Ovis aries: one gene and its partners. The protein of the gene in region 1 binds, or shares a complex with, the protein of each later gene. Links are inferred from orthologs where the notes say so. Each region holds a gene or a part of one and is shown in the gene's direction. Other genes may lie near its edges.

Evidence for each region. The genes of interacting proteins can lie anywhere in the genome.
Region 2: KANSL1 (region 1) and OGT share a complex: the UniProt entries of both Homo sapiens proteins name them as parts of the NSL complex. The link is inferred for Ovis aries from reciprocal best matches to the Homo sapiens genes KANSL1 and OGT.
Region 3: KANSL1 (region 1) and PHF20 share a complex: the UniProt entries of both Homo sapiens proteins name them as parts of the NSL complex. The link is inferred for Ovis aries from reciprocal best matches to the Homo sapiens genes KANSL1 and PHF20.
Region 4: KANSL1 (region 1) and KANSL2 share a complex: the UniProt entries of both Homo sapiens proteins name them as parts of the NSL complex. The link is inferred for Ovis aries from reciprocal best matches to the Homo sapiens genes KANSL1 and KANSL2.
Region 5: KANSL1 (region 1) and KANSL3 share a complex: the UniProt entries of both Homo sapiens proteins name them as parts of the NSL complex. The link is inferred for Ovis aries from reciprocal best matches to the Homo sapiens genes KANSL1 and KANSL3.

The regions. Positions count from the first base shown.
Region 1 is NC_056064.1:45,912,778-45,916,872, reverse strand, and holds the start of KANSL1 (KAT8 regulatory NSL complex subunit 1), read left to right. Parts: upstream 1-1,288; 5' UTR 1,289-1,315; intron 1,316-1,539; exon of another isoform or gene 1,540-2,115; intron 2,116-2,870; 5' UTR 2,871-3,012; intron 3,013-4,095. UniProt on the Homo sapiens protein: Non-catalytic component of the NSL histone acetyltransferase complex, a multiprotein complex that mediates histone H4 acetylation at 'Lys-5'- and 'Lys-8' (H4K5ac and H4K8ac) at transcription start sites and promotes transcription initiation.
Region 2 is NC_056080.1:64,199,980-64,204,125, forward strand, and holds the start of OGT (UDP-N-acetylglucosamine--peptide N-acetylglucosaminyltransferase 110 kDa subunit), read left to right. Parts: upstream 1-1,342; 5' UTR 1,343-1,538; coding exon 1,539-1,575; intron 1,576-4,146. UniProt on the Homo sapiens protein: Catalyzes the transfer of a single N-acetylglucosamine from UDP-GlcNAc to a serine or threonine residue in cytoplasmic and nuclear proteins resulting in their modification with a beta-linked N-acetylglucosamine (O-GlcNAc).
Region 3 is NC_056066.1:64,945,080-64,949,240, forward strand, and holds the start of PHF20 (PHD finger protein 20), read left to right. Parts: upstream 1-1,357; 5' UTR 1,358-1,400; exon of another isoform or gene 1,401-2,686; intron 2,687-3,488; 5' UTR 3,489-4,161. UniProt on the Homo sapiens protein: Methyllysine-binding protein, component of the MOF histone acetyltransferase protein complex.
Region 4 is NC_056056.1:137,502,106-137,506,283, forward strand, and holds the start of KANSL2 (KAT8 regulatory NSL complex subunit 2), read left to right. Parts: upstream 1-1,374; 5' UTR 1,375-1,405; intron 1,406-1,984; 5' UTR 1,985-2,000; coding exon 2,001-2,251; intron 2,252-3,245; coding exon 3,246-3,424; intron 3,425-3,911; coding exon 3,912-4,026; intron 4,027-4,178. UniProt on the Homo sapiens protein: Non-catalytic component of the NSL histone acetyltransferase complex, a multiprotein complex that mediates histone H4 acetylation at 'Lys-5'- and 'Lys-8' (H4K5ac and H4K8ac) at transcription start sites and promotes transcription initiation.
Region 5 is NC_056056.1:103,860,303-103,864,320, forward strand, and holds the start of KANSL3 (KAT8 regulatory NSL complex subunit 3), read left to right. Parts: upstream 1-1,214; 5' UTR 1,215-1,682; intron 1,683-2,281; 5' UTR 2,282-2,331; coding exon 2,332-2,546; intron 2,547-4,018. UniProt on the Homo sapiens protein: Non-catalytic component of the NSL histone acetyltransferase complex, a multiprotein complex that mediates histone H4 acetylation at 'Lys-5'- and 'Lys-8' (H4K5ac and H4K8ac) at transcription start sites and promotes transcription initiation.

The DNA.
Region 1 (4,095 bases):
AAGTTAAGAACTCTGCTTTTTTAGTATTCTCTTGGCTTTTGCTCTTGGTTTTTTAATTTAAAAAAATTTTTTTAAATTGAAGTATAGTTGATTTACAATGTTGTTAGTTTCAGGTGTATAGCAAGCTCTCATTCTTATTTCATAAAGCTAAAGAGGGTCCCTGAAATGAGTCGTACCATCTGTGAGGTTCTCATAGTTTTATTGTTTTATTTTTCCAGAGACCCTTCCTCCCTTAACTTTCATACCTCTTCACTATTTGTTTTTCTTATCTCACCAACCATCTTTCTGTTTCTGTTCACCCGCCTTACTTTACTGTGGATGTGTTTTTATGTTTCTATGGGGAGTTCTTCCTTTAGCATGTCACTGATTGCCATATTATGTGAAGAACTCTATCATCTCCCCAGATTATCCACCCCCTCCTGAATTCCATAACTGCAGTTTTCCCTGAACACTTCTACTTGGTTTTACCCCTGCTATCTGGAAATGAACATACTAAAAACTAAAATTCCTCACCAAGTCTTCATGCTGTCCCTCTTTGTCCGGACCACCATTTTAACTGTCCCCCTGGTTTTGCCACCTTATAGTTATTTTAAAATTAAGCCACGTAATTAAAAAAAAAAAGGAAAAAAATCAAAATCTTTAAAATCAAAAGATACAAAAGGATATATAGTGAAATGTAAGTCTTCCTCACACCTGATCCCCTCAACTCCCCTCCCAGAAGGAAACCACGTTACCAGCTCTTAGAGTGATTTTTTTATTCTTTATTTTGGCTATATCTCAGATGTGTGTCCTTTCCTCTCCAGGCCCTTGTGACCTTATATCTGGTTGACTTTCTATATAAGTATTTGTATGTGTGTATTTTATATACATATATAAAATCTCCCTCTGTGGCCTTCCGGCCTCGAGTTTTCTTCACAACGCTTCCTGGATGAAGAACCTACAAGGGTGAGGGGCCGGGGTTGGGGGTGATGGGGAAGAGGATCTAAAGGGGACTTAGGTAGTGGGTTCGGAGTGACAGACTTGCGGGAAGCTCTGCCAGGATCCCTGTTTCTATTTCTGCCACCTGAGGCCCATTTCCAGTCCTCTCATCCAAATGTCTCTCATTTCCAAGCTCCGAGACAGAGACAGCGAGATACACAGAGACAGAGACGCCAAGGCACCAGCATCCCTCTCCCCTTCTGTCCCGCCCCACCACTCTGACGGACATTCGCCGCCCGCCAATAGAGATACCTATGTTCCCCGGAAGGGCCAATGAGAGATAGAGGAGGGCGGAAGATTCCCCGCCCCCACTTCTAGGCTTGGTTGAGCTGTGCAGGTAGGTCCGGGGGCCGGGGGAGCCGCCGTTGGCACTGGGGCCCCGGGGGGTGGGGGCACGAGTCGGTAGGGGTGATGGTGGGGAAGGGGAGGCGGCCCCAACGGCGGGAGCCCGAGGGGGTGGCCCGGCCGGGAGGCGGGGGGCCGACGGGCCCGGGGAGCGGGCGCCGCCGAGGGCCCTGGAAGCGACTGGGCTGGGGGAGCGGGGACGCGTGTGTGGGGCATAGGGACCCCCGCCCCGCGCCCACCCGCAGGCCTGGGCCTCGGGCTGCGGGCAGAGGGGTCGGGGGCTTGGTACTCGGGGGGCGGGCTGGGCCGGGCCCGGGGCCGGGGGCGCCGAGCACAGCCCGGGGCGCCAGGCCGAGCCGAGGTGGGACGGACCGACGCGGAGAGGAAGGGAAGCTGCATCCCGCGGGCCGCCCCCTTCCAGAAGCGAGCGGAGCAACGGCCGCCGGCGCCCTGCCTTGAGCCCCCTCTCCCTTACGCCCCCTCCCTAACAATGGGTTTGGGGCAGAAGGAGTCGCCTCACTGCGGGAAGGGGGGGTCTGTTTGGGACTGGGGTCTAGGGTGGGGGGAGGGGTGGGAACTCGGGCTCTCCCCTTTCTCTTCGCCCCTTAGCTCTTGCGTTGGGGATTATGGAGGGGCTCTTAAATCCTTCCCGGACTTGGGTCAGAAGTCAAACTCCCCCCAACCCTCCCCCCACCAAAAAAAAAAAAAAAATTCGACGAGCGTAAGGAAAGTGATGCCAAGTCTTCGACGCCGAAGTGACAAACGCATAGCAAGAACAAATCCACTCCAGAGGTTTTTATTTTTAATTTTTCTTAAAAATGAGGGTACTGTAGGCTTTGAATTTTTAAAAATTTATTTTACAGAGGTGGGTGCTGTTATTTTGTCCCTAATCGGGCAAGCCTCCATTTTAAGCGAAGCAGTAACTGGTTAAGCTGGAATTTTCATTCAGGCCTAGGACGAGAGCACGAATCCTACAAGAGGTCATTTAATCCATCCTCCTACCTCCACACAAACTTGGCTCAAAATTGTTTGGCCTGTTATTAAAGATTTCTAGGAAAGAAGGGTCTTTTATTTGTAGCACTTCAGTCAAGAATGGCTATTATTTTTCCACATAGAATGGGCTCTGCAGCTTAAACTCAAGAAAATTTAGGACAATCAAAATGATCAGAGAGGGTTTAATTTATTAAAACTAAATGTGGCAAGGGCATTTTTTAGTGATCAGATAAAAAAATCACTTTTTAATAGTGTTTATGAAGTAACCCTGGACAATCATTTTTCTATTTGAGAAATAATTCTAATAAGCAATTTTATATTATCTGAAATATGTGTTACACATTTAATCCAATTTTATGGAGAAATATATTTCTTCATACCTGTGGAGAAACATACACCACACGCATTTGTCCTTCTCCAAAAGGAACAGTTATTTTCTACATTTTTTTAAAATGGTGAGGCAAATAGTACTTTGAATCTCTGTCCAGATAGTTTAAACTATATGCTTATTTTTGGATTATTTTTAGTCTAAATGAAAGTCCTCTCTTTTTCAGATACCTTTTTGAAACAAAAAATTTTCCTATCTTCTCATACTTGGTGGCTGGGGAATTACTAAGACTCTATTCTTGCTCGTTTCTGAGTATTATTGCCTGAACTACTGCTGACACTATGAATGCTACTTGGATGCCTCTTAAGGTAAGATGTGTGTGTGGTTTTTTTTTTTTTTTTAATTATAAAGGTCTCGTTTTATTATTATTATTTTTTAGAATTGAGATTTTTTTAGTTTTTGAATTTGCAGTTTTTCAACCGTCTTACCTGACATTTCTTTCCCTTGTGTTTGCCTCCTAGAACTGATTGGTTACTCCTTTGTATTGCTCCTGTCCTTAATTATTGGTGTTAAAATATTAATGAAGTTCTCAAATTAACTTTCATGATAATGATGTGTTTATTTTTTAGCTTTAAATTATGACAACCCCACACCGTTGTAAAATTCTGTTCCAGTCTCAGTAGGATGGGCTGGCAATTCAGACAGCCGGGTCCACTTTCAAACAGGTCCTTTAGTATCATCATAGGTGTTAGGGTGTGTCCCACTCTTGCAAATCTGTAGCTGATTCATGTGTTACAGAAGATGTGTCACTAGCCATTTATTTACTCTGAAACTTGATTGATGTTTAGAACATTCTAAGACCTGTTTGTTTATATCTGTAGCTTTGTGGGAGTTTTCCTGCTATTCCCTAGTCCTTTGCATGCAAATTTGTACTATTTTTCTCAACAGGTAGCACTTTGTGCCATATTTCACCTCACAAGATAAACCTCTTTGGGGGCAGTGTGAGAACACGATCTTTACATGAAAAAGCTCCCAATGATGTGGTTGTTCTCCTTTCTCTTGGCTACTTCCAGTTTCTTGTACTTAAATGGCCAGGAAACTCTCTCCATTAAGAAAGACTAAACAGAGGATAAAGCTTAAGATACATGCAGGGAGGAAAATGGGAGGGAGGAAGGATGGGGAAGGGTAAGGAGTAATGGAAGCCCCCACAAGCTTCACTGGATGGTACAGGTGACTTCCTTCAGAGCTAAATACTAATGTAGTTAGATTTTTGTCTGTTAACCTGCCCTGTGGAATTCCAAATTAATGCAGTGAATACGTCAGGTATTAATGCAGTCTGTGTAAACTAAACACTTGGATTGCGGGAAATTTTTAGGTAAATGTAGACTGAGTTCGCATCTTCATTTATGTTCCAGCTGCTATTGTTGGCTGAGGAGTTCTATATTACTGTA
Region 2 (4,146 bases), on another chromosome or scaffold:
TTGTAATTTCTTGCTAATGTGGCAAGCTACTTTAATCCTTTCTGGAACAAGAGATGCAATATAAATTAATACTAAATGTGACAAAACGTCTGAACAGTGGACTTGAAACTGCAGGAGGATCATAAAGAACTGATTTGTTCAAGGAAGCGCAGCAGTTTAGTCTCTAGATGTGTGGTTTAGGTAGATGGCAAATGAATCAATTTATCATTGTTGAGCTGCCTTGAGTTAAATGGTATCACTGATTGTAACAATTCACAAAGCAATGTGGTGGAAATGAAGTCAACTCGGAAGGGTCATGGATTTTGAAGAATATGAATCTTTAACAGTTTTATGGCTGCTGCCTTTGCAGTGCAAACTGTCAGCATGTCCCTGAGTTGTGAAGCATTTGCCGTAATACTGTGGGCAAAATTATCGTGAAACCAAGAGGATTTGGAACTTTTGGGCTATATGGCCAAAATCTGAGATGCTTGGGTTCATTTGGCCCTGAGAAACTCAATCCTTTTAATCAAAGTGCTTAAACCAATGGCTGGAATCAGAACTAACACGTGTTCAAATTGGAACTCTCTCTTTTGAATTCTAGACTTTGAAAATATAACCATTTAGATTTACTTGCTCAGAATTGATTCATCATCTTTCAACTATACGAATGAAGTTGATGAAACCTGTATACGCCTTTGGCATTCCTATTAAAATCTATGCTCTTTGCTAAGTAGTAGACTATACCATGGAGAAGGCAATGGCAACCCACTCCAGTACTCTTGCCTGGAAAATCCCATGGACGGAGGAGCCTGGTGGGATGCAGTCCACGGGTTCGCTGGGAGTCGGACACGACTGAGCAACTTCACGTTCACTTTTCATTTTCGTGCATTGGAGAAGGAAATGGCAACCCACTCCAGTGTTCTTGCCTGGAGAATCCCAGGGACGGGGGAGCGTGGTGGGCTGCCGTCTATGGGGTCGCACGGAGTCGGACACGACTGAAGCGACTTAGCAGCAGCAGCAGCAGCAGCAGCAGCAGCAGCAGACTATACCACTGGCAAAAGTGTCATTCAAGTGTATAGTTTCTTTTAAACCATCCGCTTCGCTAGTAAAAAAAACTTGGTGGCTCCTGTCCCAGACAGTGCCCTAACAGCCAGTCGGGCTGACACGGCTGCTCGCATGCGCTCTAGACATAATCGTGTTTGTCGCAATGGGCCCTGCGCGGAAGGTTACATAGGAGCGATTGACTTTGATTATAGTCATTTTGTTGGTAGCACTGGTTACCGCGCTACTTCCGCGCTGGTACTTGATTGTAACAGAAAGTAGTTCCGGTCCGTGTTGTTTCGGCCGAGGAGCCGTCGCCGCCATTTCAAGACCGTGAGAGGTAGATGGCCAACCAGAGTTCTAGGGTTCGAAAGCTGTAACTGTTGCTGCTGCTTAAGCCTGCCAAAGCACTGGTACGGCTGCTGCCCTCGTGCTCCTACCTCTAGAAACATTATTGCCAGTAGTGGCGGCTGCAGGATTCAATCACCCCCTTCTTGCACTCGCTCTAGAAGCTCCAGATGGCGTCTTCCGTGGGCAACGTGGCCGACAGCACAGGTACCGGTGTCTGTTCTACTTTGGCAGACGCCCCCTTGGGGTCTCGCGCCGTCCTCTGCCTCTCATCACTCCCTCCCCTCTGGCCATCCCCATTGCATCAGTGGCATCGCTAAGCTTTTCGGCGTCTAGCGGCATCTGATCTGGGTTTTCTGCTGTCGTCCGTTCCTAAAACATTTTCTCTCGCTTGCTTGCTTTTTGCTTCCTTTCTTGCTTTGTAATCCTATACATTTTCTAGCCTTCTGCTCTCTCGGGACCCTTCTACACCTGCGCGCTTAGACTGTCTCAGAATGGACTGCATTGGAATCCCTGCCCTTCTCGCTGCCTTTCATTCTCCTTCGCAGTCGTTTTCTCCCCAGTTCAGCTCACCGCCCCCTTCTCTTCCCCCTCCACCCCGCTCCCTTTAGCCCGATTTGGTGGTCCTCTGTCAATCTAGGGCGGAGGTGCCGTTCCAATGTAATCGTATCCTCACTTTGCATCACCCCAAGGACGAGCGCAAGCTCCTGGGTGCGCTCCGAGTAACCTCTCCAGCAGGGGATTTTGAGCAGCACCGCGCCTGGCAGCGCCTGTGTGCTGTGCCTTGGGTTGAGCGGCCCCGGTTTCGATTGGAAATTTCCAGGGGTTTCTTTTGCCATCTCCCAATTCCACTCGCTGCCCCCAGCCTGGATTTCCCACCCTGTCCTCCCTCCGCTCCCGCGGGGAGCCACACCCTTTCCTTCGCGTGGTTGCCAGCCCTGCGGTCCGTTTCCTACCCTCGGGGAGAAACCACTCTAGTGCGGGGGCTTCGGCGTTGACCATCCTGCCCGCCCAATTCTCGCTTTGTGTTACTTTGTCCTTGTATTCCTCCGCCGCCGTCTGTCTCTGGGTCTTCCATCCCCATTCTTTAGCCCGGTATTTCTTTATTCATAGGGGGTATATTTTTTTGAGTTTTCATCCCTGCTTGAAGAGTTTGTAAAGCAACTGGAGTGTAGCTGCACAAGTGCAAGGCGGTTGCCCTTTTAGACAATTAGTCTGAGAGCATTTAGTACTAAAAATAAGAAAACTCCAAATTATAGGGGTGTCCTTCAGCTGCCTTTCCGTATTGAGGCTGTTTGGGGCGGGAGGGAGGGGGGATTGGGCTGCGGTTCTAAGGTTTCCCACGAGGTTATTTTTTTGTTGGTTTCTCAGTTGAGATGTCAAGGGTTTTATTGTTCTTGGACATTGTGCACTAAGAGATGAATCTTCAATTGTATCTTATATTTGACTGTAGGTAGTGAGATTGGTAGTGTTCCCCTCTCGCTCAGGGATTTTTTTTTAAAGATTTAAGAGTCTGTCCTAGATTCTCTTGTTCTAGCTTGCCCTTTTCTTTCTTTTTTGGCCGCACCATGCGGCTTGCGGGATCTTAGTTCCCCGGACCAGGCATGGAACCTGTGCCCCCTGCATTGGGAGCGCATAGTCTTAACCGCTAGACTACCAATGAAGCCCCTGCTTGCCCTTTTCTGCCTGTTATTTTATTTGAGAAAGTTGTCATTTCTAGTGTTAAAATAGCAGATAGGCGGCTTTTGAAAAGTTGATAAAGTATGGGTTAAAAATAAGGAGCAAGGAAGGGAGTTCTAGAGACTTGTTTAAAATAGATAGAGTGAATAGTGAAGTCGCTCAGTCGTGTCCGACTCTTTGCGACCCCATGGACTGTAGCCTATCAGGCTCCTCCGTCCATGGGATTTTCCAGGCAAGAGTGCTGGAGTGGATTGCCATTTCCTTCTCCAGGGGATCTTCCCGACCCGGGAATCGAACCCGGGTCTCCCTCATTGCAGGCAGACGCTTTACCATCTGAGCCATCAGGGAAGCCCCAAAATAAATGGGACCGAATTGAACAGAAGCAGAGTGAGCTGGGAAACAATAGCAGTCTGGAATTCTCCAGGCCGGAATACTGGAGTGGGTAGCCTTTCCCTTCTCCAGGGGATCTTCTCAACCCAGGGATCGAACCCAGGTTCCCCACATTGCAGGCAGATTCTTTACCAGCTGAGCCACAAGGGAAGCCCATAAGAGGTATAACCGTCCACAAATGTGGATGCAGGTCTCTCTGCTCTTAACGTTAGTGGTCAGCTAGCTGTGCCTTGTTAGGAAATTTACTTTACTTTCCTGAGTATACAGTTCATTTGCCAGGTCTAATGATTGAGGGTCTAGGCTCAATATTAGCTTCTCACTTGGAGCTTGGTAGAATTTAAGTATTTAATTTGTAGAAAGTTTCTTACTCTGTCTCCTGGAAGTACTGTGGTCAAATTCCCAAGTAATGTATCATTGTTAAAGTATTTACACTTGAGACTTAGGCAGCTTGTTGTTGTTTTCCATCTCTGGGCTTTAGCTGTATATTCTTTATCTTTTTGTATCTGAACAAAGTTACACACAGCAAAGTACATTCATTTATTATTAATTTAGTTGCACTTTATTGAATGGTTTTATATTTTAGCATTTCTCCATTCTTTAAAAAATTCATTGCAGTTGTAGGTTTATACAGGGTTGTTTGCAGTGTTTTAGTCCTTTTAGTCAGTATCAGAGCTCTTTAGAAAATGCTAGTGTTAAACCATCGTGGGT
Region 3 (4,161 bases), on another chromosome or scaffold:
TAAACAATGAACATCTACTATTTGTCAGGTTCTGACAATGCAGTAGATACAAGATAGTCCCTAACTCTAACTCAGGGGGAAAAAATAAAACAAAGAGAACAAACCAATTAAATAATTACAAACTGTGTTAAGTGCTCTGCTGAAAACAAACATTGATAAGGTAGAGAGCAATTGCCCTGTTTGAAGCAGGAGATCAAGGGGAGCACTTCTAGATTATGTGGTCAAAGAGGGCCTTATTGAGGAGATGACAAACTGAGACCTTTTAAAGAGTCTTTTAAAGTCAGTTTTGCAAAAAGTAACAGCTTAGTCAATGGCCCAGTGCCTGGAAGGACCTTGCAGAGAACCACAGAAATGACAGTAACTTAGTATGGCCAGACAGTTAGCAAGGGTGGAGGATGTGACAGAAAGGTTGGTTGTTTTAAGCAAGGCGGTGACATGATTATATTTACATTTGAAGAGGTGTAATCTAGCTGCCCTGTTTTTCCAAGGTAAAATAAAATCGTTATTGCCTTCCTAAATAACAAATATTTAGCATTCCTCTTTGGAACTTCCCAAGTCCCACTGGGAAAACTTTTCAGACCCTTTGTGGGTGGCTGCAACTCCGACCTTGGTCCCCGGAGATAGAATACAGCTTCTCTTCCCACTAGCAATTGGAATCCCTTCCGAGGAGTTAATGAGGTAAGGCGCAGAATGAGCGGTTCAGAGACTCTAGGTCGGGAAGGAACCTGACTTGTGTGAGGACTTGAAAGCCGCTTGAGAAAGTGGAGGAGTTGAATGCGCGTGAATGTGAGACAGGCAAGTTAGTACAAACTGAAAAGTCTGGCAGATAGGCTACGGTGAAGATTTAGATCTTAATCTGAAGAACAGTGGGCAACGGGCTTTGAGCATGAGGATGGCTACGAACAGAGTTGCGTCTTGAGAAGCTCTTTCTGTCGGAGCATGAAGAACGGATTGGAAGGAGTAAGTGTGGGTGGTGAGGACAACCATCTGATGGTGGACTAGACTGGAGCGTTGGCAGCAGGATGGAGAGAAGCAGGAGGCTTCGAGGCGCATATAGGAGGCATAACTAACAGATGACGGATAGGGTCCAGTCCCGGGCTTCGTGTGATCACAGTGGCTATGGGTGAGAGGGGACTTCGTGCTCCGGATCCAGGCGCAGGCCGGTTCCCGCGCGTCAGGGCAGTGGGCGTGGCTCGCCCGAGCCGTCGCCACGGTGATCGGGTGGGGAGGGGCCGAGGGCGGGGCAGCTGAGGAGCTGCGTCACTCGGAGGTGGCGATGGTGCGTGTGTGTGGGGGGCGGGGGATACGCTGGGCGCGTCCCGGGGGTCACGTGGTGCGCTGCACGCAGAGTCCTTCTGTCGGTTGGTCCTGGAGCGGCGCAGCCGGAGCGGGGCTGTGAGGTGAGCTCGCGGCGAGGCGCGGCGAGGCGAAGCTGGCTGGCTGGGGCTGGGTCGGGCCGGGCCCGCGCCGCGCGCGCGCGCGCGCCGTGCGGGCGGGGACGGTGACGGACGCCACCGCTGCTCCGGTCCCCTGCCCGGCCCCGCTCCCCGCCTGGCCCCGCTTGCCCTGCCCGGAGGGAGGCCCGGGGACCGCTGTTGAGAGCGTGGCGGGCGTGCGAGTGGCGCCCAATCCCCAGGGTTGCCTGCGGGAGTGACGGTGGTTAAGGCCAATCAGCGCCGCCTGAGGAGGTTGGGCCGCGGGGTGCGGGCCCAGGGCGCGGAGCGGGCCGTGTTGCGGGTGGGGGGAAGAGCTAGGGTCGGATCCTGAGCTTGTGTGGCCCCCGAGAGCTCCACCAACAACCCCTGCCCTTGCCTTGTGCTTTGGGAACGCGTTTTCTTTTATAGCCTCTTTAATCCTGTTCTGGGGAGCACACCCCTTTCTCAAGCCCCCGACTATGGGAGTGTCCCCTTTCTCTGTAGTTTTTAGAAAATGTGATCGGTGCAACCCTCTTTCTTAAACTCCATCCCTGGGATTTTATCTTAATTTCCAAAGCTTCCCCAACTGAGGATGGTACCCCCTGACCCACGACCCCCAAATTGGGAGGACACTCCCTTTACGTGTCTCCACTCTGAATAAATGTCCGCTTTCAAATCTGAGGGTTCTTCCCATTTAGCGAGTTTCAAATCTGGGGTCCAGTGACCAGTTTTGGGGGTACTTATGGTCCCACAAATTCAGGGGAGACTTCCCTTTTCCAGGCCTGAAATCTGGCAGAATGCTTGTCAGAATGTCTTAAATTTAGGGGCCGATTCCTTTTCCCAGCCTTCCAAAATCTGGGAGAGCACAGTGTCCAGAGTCTACCCGAAATGAAGTCCAAATCCTGAAATTTTAAGATAAGTGTTTGTATTTACACAGGGAATTCACAGCTTTTCCCAATCACTCTATCCTTGGGGTTCCACCCTTTTTCATGAGTTCTCCAAATCGGACCACCTTATTTCCAGATTTTCATATCTGAAAGTGTTTCCTGCCCCACCCCCACCCTCCACGCTCTACTTTTGGTTACACAGTTCTCAGCCTGCAGCCACCGTCCTGATGTTTGTTAAATCTGGGAGGGCACACCATTTTTCTTAGTTTGCTCATTTCCAGAAAGTGGTCCGTGGTTCTTGAGCTTTGCAGCCATCGGAGAGACTTTGTTTCCTCAGCTTCCCTTTTTGGAGCCCCATTTTCCTTTAGGTGCTCTCCCTGTCAGGTAAGTGCACCTTTCGTCTTCCTTCCTCTGGTGAATAAATATCTTTGTTCAGCATGGCACTTTGTCTGCTTCTGTGGCCTTTTCTCTGTACTCACTTCCTATAGTCTTACCTCCTGAAGTCCCCTCCCCCTGGGGGAGGATCTCCCCGCCCATCCCAAAGGGGTGCCTGTATGTTTTCTTTCATATGTCTACTTTATCTTTCATCTTTCTGCTAACAAGAACTCTCTCTTGGCTTGCTCTATCCCGGGGCATTTTTGATTCCTTTCTTCCTTTGGACGCTGCTCTTGCTTACTGGTGGCTGTAAAGATAGTCCCATTTCTTCCCCTTTCTCTGGAAGTAGCCTCAAGTCCAGGGCTGCCTGACTCCTCCCCAGTGCTGGATTTAAACTGAAAACGAATCCCCCCTTGTATTTCTTTGGTTATTCACAGGTCTCTTAATCCTCCTGATGGTCTGCTGCTTATAAGATTCTGGTTAGAAGGATACTGCTTCATTTCCTTTCATTGGAAGACAAAACAAAACAAAAAAACCCTCCAGAGATTCTTAGTCTTGCTTCCAGCTCCTAAAGCTTCCTCATTGGCTCTTTTCCTTCTTTTTATCAAGAAAAGAGGTCTTTTGGAGGAATCTCTTGGTCACTCTTTTTGTTCCTGGAGTAGAGGTGGGAGATGGATCTTTATCTCTCTCTGTGATCCTCTCACTTATCTGCCAAACCTTGCCCCTGACCCCCACCTTAAAATCTGCAAATGTCCTCTCCTAAGAGCCTCTCAGTAGGCTCTTTCTTTTGTATTTCCCTCTGTCTTTCCAGATCTTACTCAGGGCTTCTCAGCCGGAACCGAACCAGATTAATTTCTCCACAGCTGGAATCTCAAGTGCTTATGGGATAATGACACCTCTGACCTTTCTCCTTTTGGGAAGTACTTGAGTGTGCAGCTGTATGAGGCCTCAGGGCGGGAGAGAGTATGAGCCTGAGAAGCAACCCTGACAGGACAAGGCAGAAAAATACTGCATTTTCAGGACCACGTCCTTCTGAATCTCATTTGAAGATTGGATGTTTGCCAAGCACCTGCTTCTCAGTGATGCTGGGGGATTTAATGATACTCCCAGGAACCTGTAGGAATTAATGGGGCTTGTGAAGTGTGCTGAACTTTGTGTTGGAACTTGAATAAAATGAATAATTTTATTGTATTTTCAGAAGAACTAAGCTTTTTTATATTTCATGTGCATGAAAACCCCCGAGCTGTGTTATTTCAGGAAGTGAAATAGATCCCACATTTATATCATATGATCATTAGTAAGTACCAGATTCATTAAAAAACACTATAGGTCTATCTGAGCAGTACCTAATAAAATATGGTGTACAGAAAGTGAAGAGGTACTTTGTATCTTATTTGCCTGATTGGTACCCTATCTATGTACTGCTATATATAGTTCACCCTTAAAGTATTCTACACCAGTGCTTCTCAAACTTGAATGTGCAA
Region 4 (4,178 bases), on another chromosome or scaffold:
CTCTACCTAGTCCCTAATGCCTCTTTACATTGTTCTCTATAGTAGTTTTAATTTTCCTTTTTGATATCACTGCATTTGGTTGAAGATTCCCATGTTTTCTGTAATGTGACTGCCTCTACTAGTTTTAAATTATAGGATGTTTATAACAAATCTCTGTACTTCTGAGGGTTGGAGTGTTTGCTTATGTATGTAACACAGTCCTGGTGAGATGAAATGCTTTTAACTAAAAATTCCTTAAAGGATTATAAGATTGGGATTTATCTGCCATTCTATATACCTGCGTTATTTAGCATGGAATTGTAGAGAAGCAAGGCCGCAACTAGAACTCATTTACTCAATTTTCTTAGAACTCAATTTTCTCAGTCCAAAAAGTGAAAAAAAGTGAAAGTGAACTCCCTTAGTCGTGTCAGACTCTGAGACCCCGTGGACTATAGCCTACCAGGCTCCTCTGTCCATGGAATTTTCCAGGCAAGAATACTGGGATCTTCCCGACCTAGGGATCGAGTCTGGGCCTCCCGCATTGCTGGCAGACACTTTTACCATCTGAGCCATCTGGGAAGCCCTCTCAGTCCAATGCACTTCACGAGAGAAGAAAGGGGTAAAGAATGAGTTAGTCACTCAGTTGTGTGCCACTCTTTGCTCCCCCTCTCAGCCAGGCTCCTCTTGTCCATGGGATTCTCCAGGCAAGAATACTTCAGTGGCTTGGCTTTCCTTTCTCCAGAGGATCTTCCGGACCCAGGGATGGAATCCGGGTATCCTACACTTAATGTGGATTCTCTACCGTCTGAGCCACTGGGGAAACTCAGAATAAAGGCTGGGTTCAAATTCACCTCGCCCTATTTACTAGATATGGGCCCGTTCTATTCGTAGTTTCTAACTTCTTAGGGTTCTGAAAATTAAAAGTTTATATGTGTAATTTCCTAGGCTCAGTAAATACTTGAAAAAAATGTTTCCACAAATGAAGTGTTCACGAAAAAAAACTAAAGCCTTTTCCTGTATAGACAATGAGAGTCAAATGTACAGTGATTCTTTGGCCTCTACATGTCGATTTTGTTGTACCGACTATGTAGGGGTGGTGAAATAGCTGCAGCCTAAGATCACACACAGAGCGCCCCAAATCCGCCTGGACATCAGCTACGGTCGGAAATGTAAAGAGCTGTCCCCGCCGACCCACAACCCACGCTCCCTCCGCCTCACTCTCTCCAGAGCTGAGTTGCTGACAGACACCTCATCTAGCCACCCAGCCTCGCCGTTTCCCAGCGCCCCGCCCCCTGAACTCTATAGATAGCCAATGGTGACACAGAGTCGTAGGCTCAGTATCCAATCAGTGGCTGGGAGCCCGGAAAGGCATGGTTAGAAGTGGCTGGCGCTGCCAGAAAGCGAGTGGCGCGGCTCAGCGGCAGAGGTAAGATGGCGGCTGTGCTTGCTCCTCGGTTTTGGAGTTAGGCTGCTGCTTCGCCCCTTCTGTTTGTTCCGAGCTGCTACTCTGTCTCAGTCAGCGTCAGGGGCGCTTTACTCCTCTTGGCTTCCAGGACCCAGATTCGCCTGTGCTTGGAGTCTTAGGACAAAATGGCGCTTGCACTGGCCTCCGAGGATGGGCAGGGCCCAGCGTTCAGCTTTGAGGCGGGCCGGGACAAAGGCGGCATGCGAGGAGGCGGAGGCCAGGGGTGGGGCGGGTGGGTCTGCGGCGTTGCGCCGCGGCGTGCGGCAGGAGCTGGCGCTTCCGCCTCTTGCTGCTTCTCCCTCGTGTGGCGACCGTGCGAGCCCTTGAGATACTTTCAACGTGGCTGTGGTCGGAGTTGGGGGAGGGCTTGGACAGAGAAGTTGAGATGAGGCAAATTCAGTAATATCTTGGTAGACTTGGGCGGAAGGCAGTTAAGGAGCGTGACTTCGGCCTGGCGTTTTAGAAGCCGCGCGCAGTCTGCCCGGGTATTGTGGAGCTGGGCTTTTCGGGAAGGTTAAAGGCTTTTTGATCTTTGTGCAGCCCTGCAGGTTTTGGTATGAACAGGATTCGGATTCACGTCTTGCCGACCAATCGGGGGAGGATCACCCCAGTGCCCAGATCTCAGGAGCCCCTGTCTTGTTCGTTTACTCATCGTCCATGTTCGCAACCTCGTCTGGAGGGGCAGGAATTTTGCATTAAGCATATCCTTGAAGACAAGAATGCGCCTTTCAAGCAGTGTAGTTATATATCGACGAAGAACGGAAAAAGATGTCCCAGTGCTGCCCCAAAGCCTGAGAAGAAAGATGGGTATGTGTGTGTATATATATATATATAGAGAGAGAGAGACAGACAGACAGACAGACAGATAGATAGATACTGTCGTATGTACTTTTAGTTTTTAAGTGAGAGGAAGATGTGCCAGGATGTGGCCTTGGAAAAAGTCGCCAAGTTTTTTAGGCCACGTGTTTGTAAAATTGAAGTTACGGGTATATCCTTGGAAAATTTTTTAAAATGGTGAAAACGAAGAGACATCTCCTAGTTGGGCCGTTTTATTATCTCTTTGGCAATTTTACCTTGTGAAGGTTTCTCAGTCGTGTCCCACTCTGCGACCCCGTGGACCATACAGTCCATGGGATTTTCCAGGCCAGGATACTAGAGTGGGTAAGCCTTTCCCTTCTCGAAGGGATCTTCCCAACCCAGGGATCGAACCCAGGTCTGCGGCATTGCAGGCAGATTCTTTACCAGCTGAGCCACCAGGGAAGCCCTGTAAAATAAATTCTTAAGCCTAGGTTCCATGGCTCTTTTGGCTGTCCTTGAATCTTAGGTAATGCAAAATTGTATACATGTGTATTTTTTTTAGGAAAAGATTTCATCATTTAAACTATCCATGCACAAATAATTTGGCTAGATAATTCTGCATTGTGTCCCACATCTTACTACCTACAATGGATTGATTTTGAAGTGTTATAAAATGTAAAATTGCCTCCCAGAACCAATTTTGAGAGATGAAAGTGGATCAGTGTGACTTGTTGCAAAATGATACCAGCATTTTTATAGTTGGAATATTTCCTTAGATGGATAGATCACTGGAATATGTTAACCTGCATTTCCCTTCAGTAATACCAAATGAGTTGACCTTGCCCGTTAAATTACTCTGCCTCACTAGCATTTTTAGTCTATAAATGAAGATAATAGTCATTTTGATTGCCTGAAAATGATCTAAAGATCACTGTCTGTGGAAATCACTGAACTCTTGTAAGAGGGAGCATGAGTATGAAACGTTAATATTTTGTCTCCTTAGGGTATCCTTCTGTGCTGAACATGCTCGGAGAAACGCCCTGGCACTTCATGCGCAAATGAAAAAGACTAATCCAGGGCCTGTGGGTGAAACACTCTTGTGCCAGCTGAGCTCGTACGCTAAGACAGAGCTGGGGTCTCAGACTCCAGAAAGTAGCCGCAGTGAAGCCAGCCGAATTCTGGGTGAGGATCTTCTTTCTCATAATGAAAAAACAGGAAGAAAGTTAACAAAGAACTTTGGTTTATCTCAATGCCTTGAACATATGTGGCACTTGAAAGTACAATATTATTATTAATTCATTGCCAGTTTGGGAGAATTCAGGACTGCTGCTGTTCACCAGTCTTTTTGGTTTTAATTAGTGTGTGCTTAGGTTTACTTTATCCTGAGTTTATGACTCTTTCAGTGCTGTTTTTATACTTTACTTTGTTAGGTAAGATAATTTCAGGAAACAGAATAATTTTGAGTTGACCTTTCTGTCTTTTTGAGGCTATGGTTAACTCATTTGTGTTATAAGTACTTATACTCAGGAAGTATATTTCTTTGCCAGTGCTTCTGTATTAAGCATTTTTAATTTTAAGATTTGGATTGGTGTGTTAAGTAATCTAGTTTTGTGTGGTGGAGTTACAGAGGTGGGAAGTCTTAATGGCTGCTCTCCCTTCCTTGCCTCAGATGAAGACAGCTGGAGTGATGGGGAGCAGGAACCCATTACTGTGGATCAGACATGGAGAGGTGACCCTGACAGTGAAGCTGATAGCATAGACAGTGATCAAGAAGATCCCCTAAAGTAAGTTGTAACTCCACATAGGGCTTTAACATATTTTAGAAGGTAGTATGTGGATTGTAGTACTGCATGCTGTTAATAGATTAATAAGCTAGGAGGGTTGAAGATAGCTTAGCTATTTGTGAGCAGTAATAGCTTCTGCATATTGAAGTGTC
Region 5 (4,018 bases), on another chromosome or scaffold:
ATCCTCTGTCCTCCCCTTCTCCTCCTGATTGGCTAGATGGATCTCCTTGCAGTCTAAGGGACTCTCAAGCGTCTTCTCCAACACAGTCCAAAAGCATCAATTCTTCGGCGCTCAGCCTCCTTTACAGTCCAACTCTCACATCCATACATGGCTACTTAAAAAACATAACTTTGATTAGACAGACCTTTGTTGGCAAAGTAATGTCTCTGCTTTTTAATATGCTGTCTAGGTTGGACATAACTTTTCTTCCAAGAAGCGTCTTTTAATTTCATGGCTACAGTCACCGTCTGCAGTGATTTTGGAGCCCAAGAAAAAGTCTCTCACTGTTTCCATTGTTTTCCCATCTATTTGCCATGAAGTGATGGGACCAAATGCCATGATCTTAGTTTTCTGAGTGTTGAGTTTTAAGCCAACATTTTCACTCTCCTCTTTCACTTCCATCAAGAGGCTCTTTAGCTTTTCTTAGCTTTCTGCCAAAAGGGTGGTGTCATCTGCATATTTGAGGTTATTGATATTTCTCCTGGCTATCTTGATTCCAGCTTGTGCTTTATCCAGCCCGGCATTTTGCATGATGTACTCTGCATATAAGTTAAATAAGTAGGGTGACAACATACTTGACGTACTCCTTTCCTGATTTGGAACCAGTCTGTTGTTCCATGTCCAGTTCTAACTGTTGCTTCTTGATCTGAATACAGATTTCTCAGGAGGGCGGTAAGGTGGTCTGGTAATTCCCATCTTTTGAAGAATTTTCCACAGTCAAAGGCTTTGGCGTAGTCAATAAAGCGGAAGTAGAGGTTCCCTTGGAGAAGGCAATGACAACCCACTCCAGTACTCTTGCCTGGAAAATCCCATGGGCGGAGGAGCCTGGTGGGTTGCAGTCCATGGGGTCATGAAGAGTCGGACACGACTGAGCGACTTCACTTTCACTCCTCACTTTCATGCACTGGAGAAGGAAATGGCAACCCACTCCAGTGTTCTTGCCTGGAGAATCCCAGGGACGGGGGAGCCTGGTGGGCTGCCGTCTGTGGGGTCTCACAGAGTCGGGCACGACTGAAGCGACTTGGCAGCAGCGGCAGCAGCACGGGCTCCCTTGCAGCTGCATCGTTTCCGGGTTTTGCGGCTCACCGCCCCTCCCTTCCCAGCTGGAATCCACTTCCGCACTTTGCTCCGTGCCCTGGGCGCCGGGGCGTGGAGGCGGTAGCGCGCACGCGCACAGGGATCCGGCCCGGGCCGAGCGCGCGGCCGGACGATTGCGGGTGAGGGAGAGTCGGCCCTGGCCGGGATGGCGGGCCTGAGGGGTCGTGGTTCGGGTCGGAGCGGGCGGGGGGTCTCGGCTAGGATCTCCTGGCTCCCGGGGCATGCGGGGGCCGGGCGCTAGAGCCCGGGTCCTGGCGATCTGGGTCGGACGATCGTGTAGGGCCGGGGGCGGGCTCGGGCCGCCGTGACGCGGGCGCTCAGCCTGGCCGGGGCGGGCGGGAGGCGGGTGCGAGGCGGCTCCTTCTTGTCGCGAACTCTCTGTGACCTTGGCCAAGTCACTCCATCCCCTTGAGCCGGCGCCTGCGTCTGTGAAGTGCGAATTATGAGCCCTGCCTGCCTGCTGGAGCGGTTTTGAGGCTCGGGGGCGGGACCCCCGAGGGTACCTGCGGTAGAGGGCGGTTCCCCGGGGACCACCCGGGCCTTGGGTGAGGGAGAGGGGCCTTCCGGGCGTAGCATTTTGTTACAGGCTTTGGGAAGGACCGCTCATCTGTAGATTTTTAAAACTCCAGAGCATTATGAAGTAGTTACAAAACTTGTTTAACACAAAGGAGAGAGGTCAGGGCTTCCCCGAGGCCCACGTTGCGCAACTGTTTCAGCAATGCTCACGCTCCGGCCGGAGACGGCTCAGTGAGAATGGTTCGCAGCCGTCGAGACCCTTAGCTGTGGAATTAGTACTATTTGTGATTCCTCGTTTGCCAAAACCCGTTGCGCCCACCTGGGAAACTGTGGCGCTGGCCAAGCAAGTCTAGTATCTGTCCACGTGAGGCAGTCCTCCAGCTTCCCAATGGACCGAATTGTAGAGACTGAGGATGGAGGGGGCGCCATAGCCATTTTGGGTGGTGGAGTGGGAACTCAGGAACCCTCCCGACGCGGGCAAGGGTCTGCAGTGTGACAGATATTATGTAATTATGTAATACGCAACTGCCAATGGTAGAAAGTCACTAACATAAGCCTATTAAGATGTTCTAGGTTGGAAGAAATTCAGAGCATTTGAATTGACTTGAACTGAAACTTTTCGCCGCAGGTGACTAGCATGCAGATAACCGTTCTCTGACCTGCTGCCCCTCTTCTGACATGGCCCACCGCGGTGGGGACAGGGACTTCCAGACTTCAGCGCGGCGCATGGGCACCTCTTTGCTCTTCCAGCTCTCGGTGCATGAGCGGGAACTGGACCTGGTGTTTCTGGATCACAGCTATGCTAAGCCGTGGAGTGCCCACCCCGATGCCAGTAGTGCCCGCCCCACCCGCATGCTCTTTGTTACTCCTCGGAGGCAGCACGAAAGTACCATGTGAGTTTGGCCTTCTCTCCTATGGGCTGCTGTCACCCTAACTGGGCAGTAATCAGTTGGGGATTAGAGTGTATTTTATTGTGGGAGATTAGGGATGGGGTGGGATGTTTAATTTAGCATCCTTGTTAACCATCCTGAGGATGTCAGGCCTCTTGGTGAACATCTGGATTCAAGACATCTAATGAGTTAGGAAGGCAGGATGTTCAAAGGAAAGCGAACAGCTGATTACATTTAGGATAAGAGGACTTGTGTGGAAAGAGGAATTGAAGATGATTATTTAAACGGAAGAAAAAGATGGAAGAGTTGACTTTTAAAAATTGTCACATAGGATTAGACTCATTCCTAAAATAGCCCAGTGTTCTGGCTCCAACACTGGGGAATAACCTTTTCATGGTAATTTGGTTTGTTTTTTCTCCATTCACCTGCAAAGCTTAGGAGCACATGCCCACGACTTTTCTTTCCCTCTTAACTTGTTATGGAACTGTCACCATGGGTTGATCTTAATCCTTCTGAGATCTGGTTGTATTTTCAGCTTGCCTACGTAATAGGGTCGGGAATTTTTTCATAAACTTACCATGTAATATGTGATACAGTTACATTTGGTCTGTGCAAACTTGTTTAGCAATTCTTTGGAACTTTAAGGCATTCTGATTACGTTGGAACACAAGGTATTTCAAGATTTAGTGATATATTCTATTTTGATGATAAAATCATGCCCTTAATAATTTTATAAACTTTTTGGGGGAGGAGTTTGTTTTTGTTTGTCTCAATCTGACCTGATGTTTAATCTCTAGCACAGGTTTTAGGTTTGCTGGAAAACAGAGATCTTGTGCTTTGCTTCTTTAGATCCACCAGTGAGCCTTAATGAGCTATAAGTGCCATGACATGTGTGTGTAACACATGTAGAATAGTGGTTTTTATTTCATTTCCCAGCGAGAGCCTCATTTTGTTGGCCTATTTTGGATGTACAGGTCACAGGATCTGTGATTTTAGAGAATAATTGAGCATAATCCTGATGCTTCTGATCAAGGGCATCACTGAAGAGCTCTTTTGAATAGAATTGCAAGTCTCTCTTTTAGTTATGTAATAGCTTCTTGCAAGCATTGAAACTCCTGTATTTAAATCTCATGATTATTTTCTTAAAGTGAGATTTTGTGGACTTGGTCATTTCAGCACTCAGAAAATTACTTCCTCTTATAGACTGGCTCCATATATGAGCCCTATAAGTGGGAGTTTGGCGTATTTTAGGAGCTCTTTTTAGGCCACTGGATCTGGAAGGTGGTTGCAATGGGAGTGTAAGTGGGAGCTAGGGGAGAAGCTGGCAGGGGCTACCTCATGTAGGAATTTGATTCTCAGAGTTGGTAAGAAGTCATTGAAGGATTTTAAGCTAGAGATTAAATTTATATTTAAAAAGATCACTTTGAATTTTTGTTTAATAGATGATAGTGCTGAAGTAGAATAGATAAGACCTG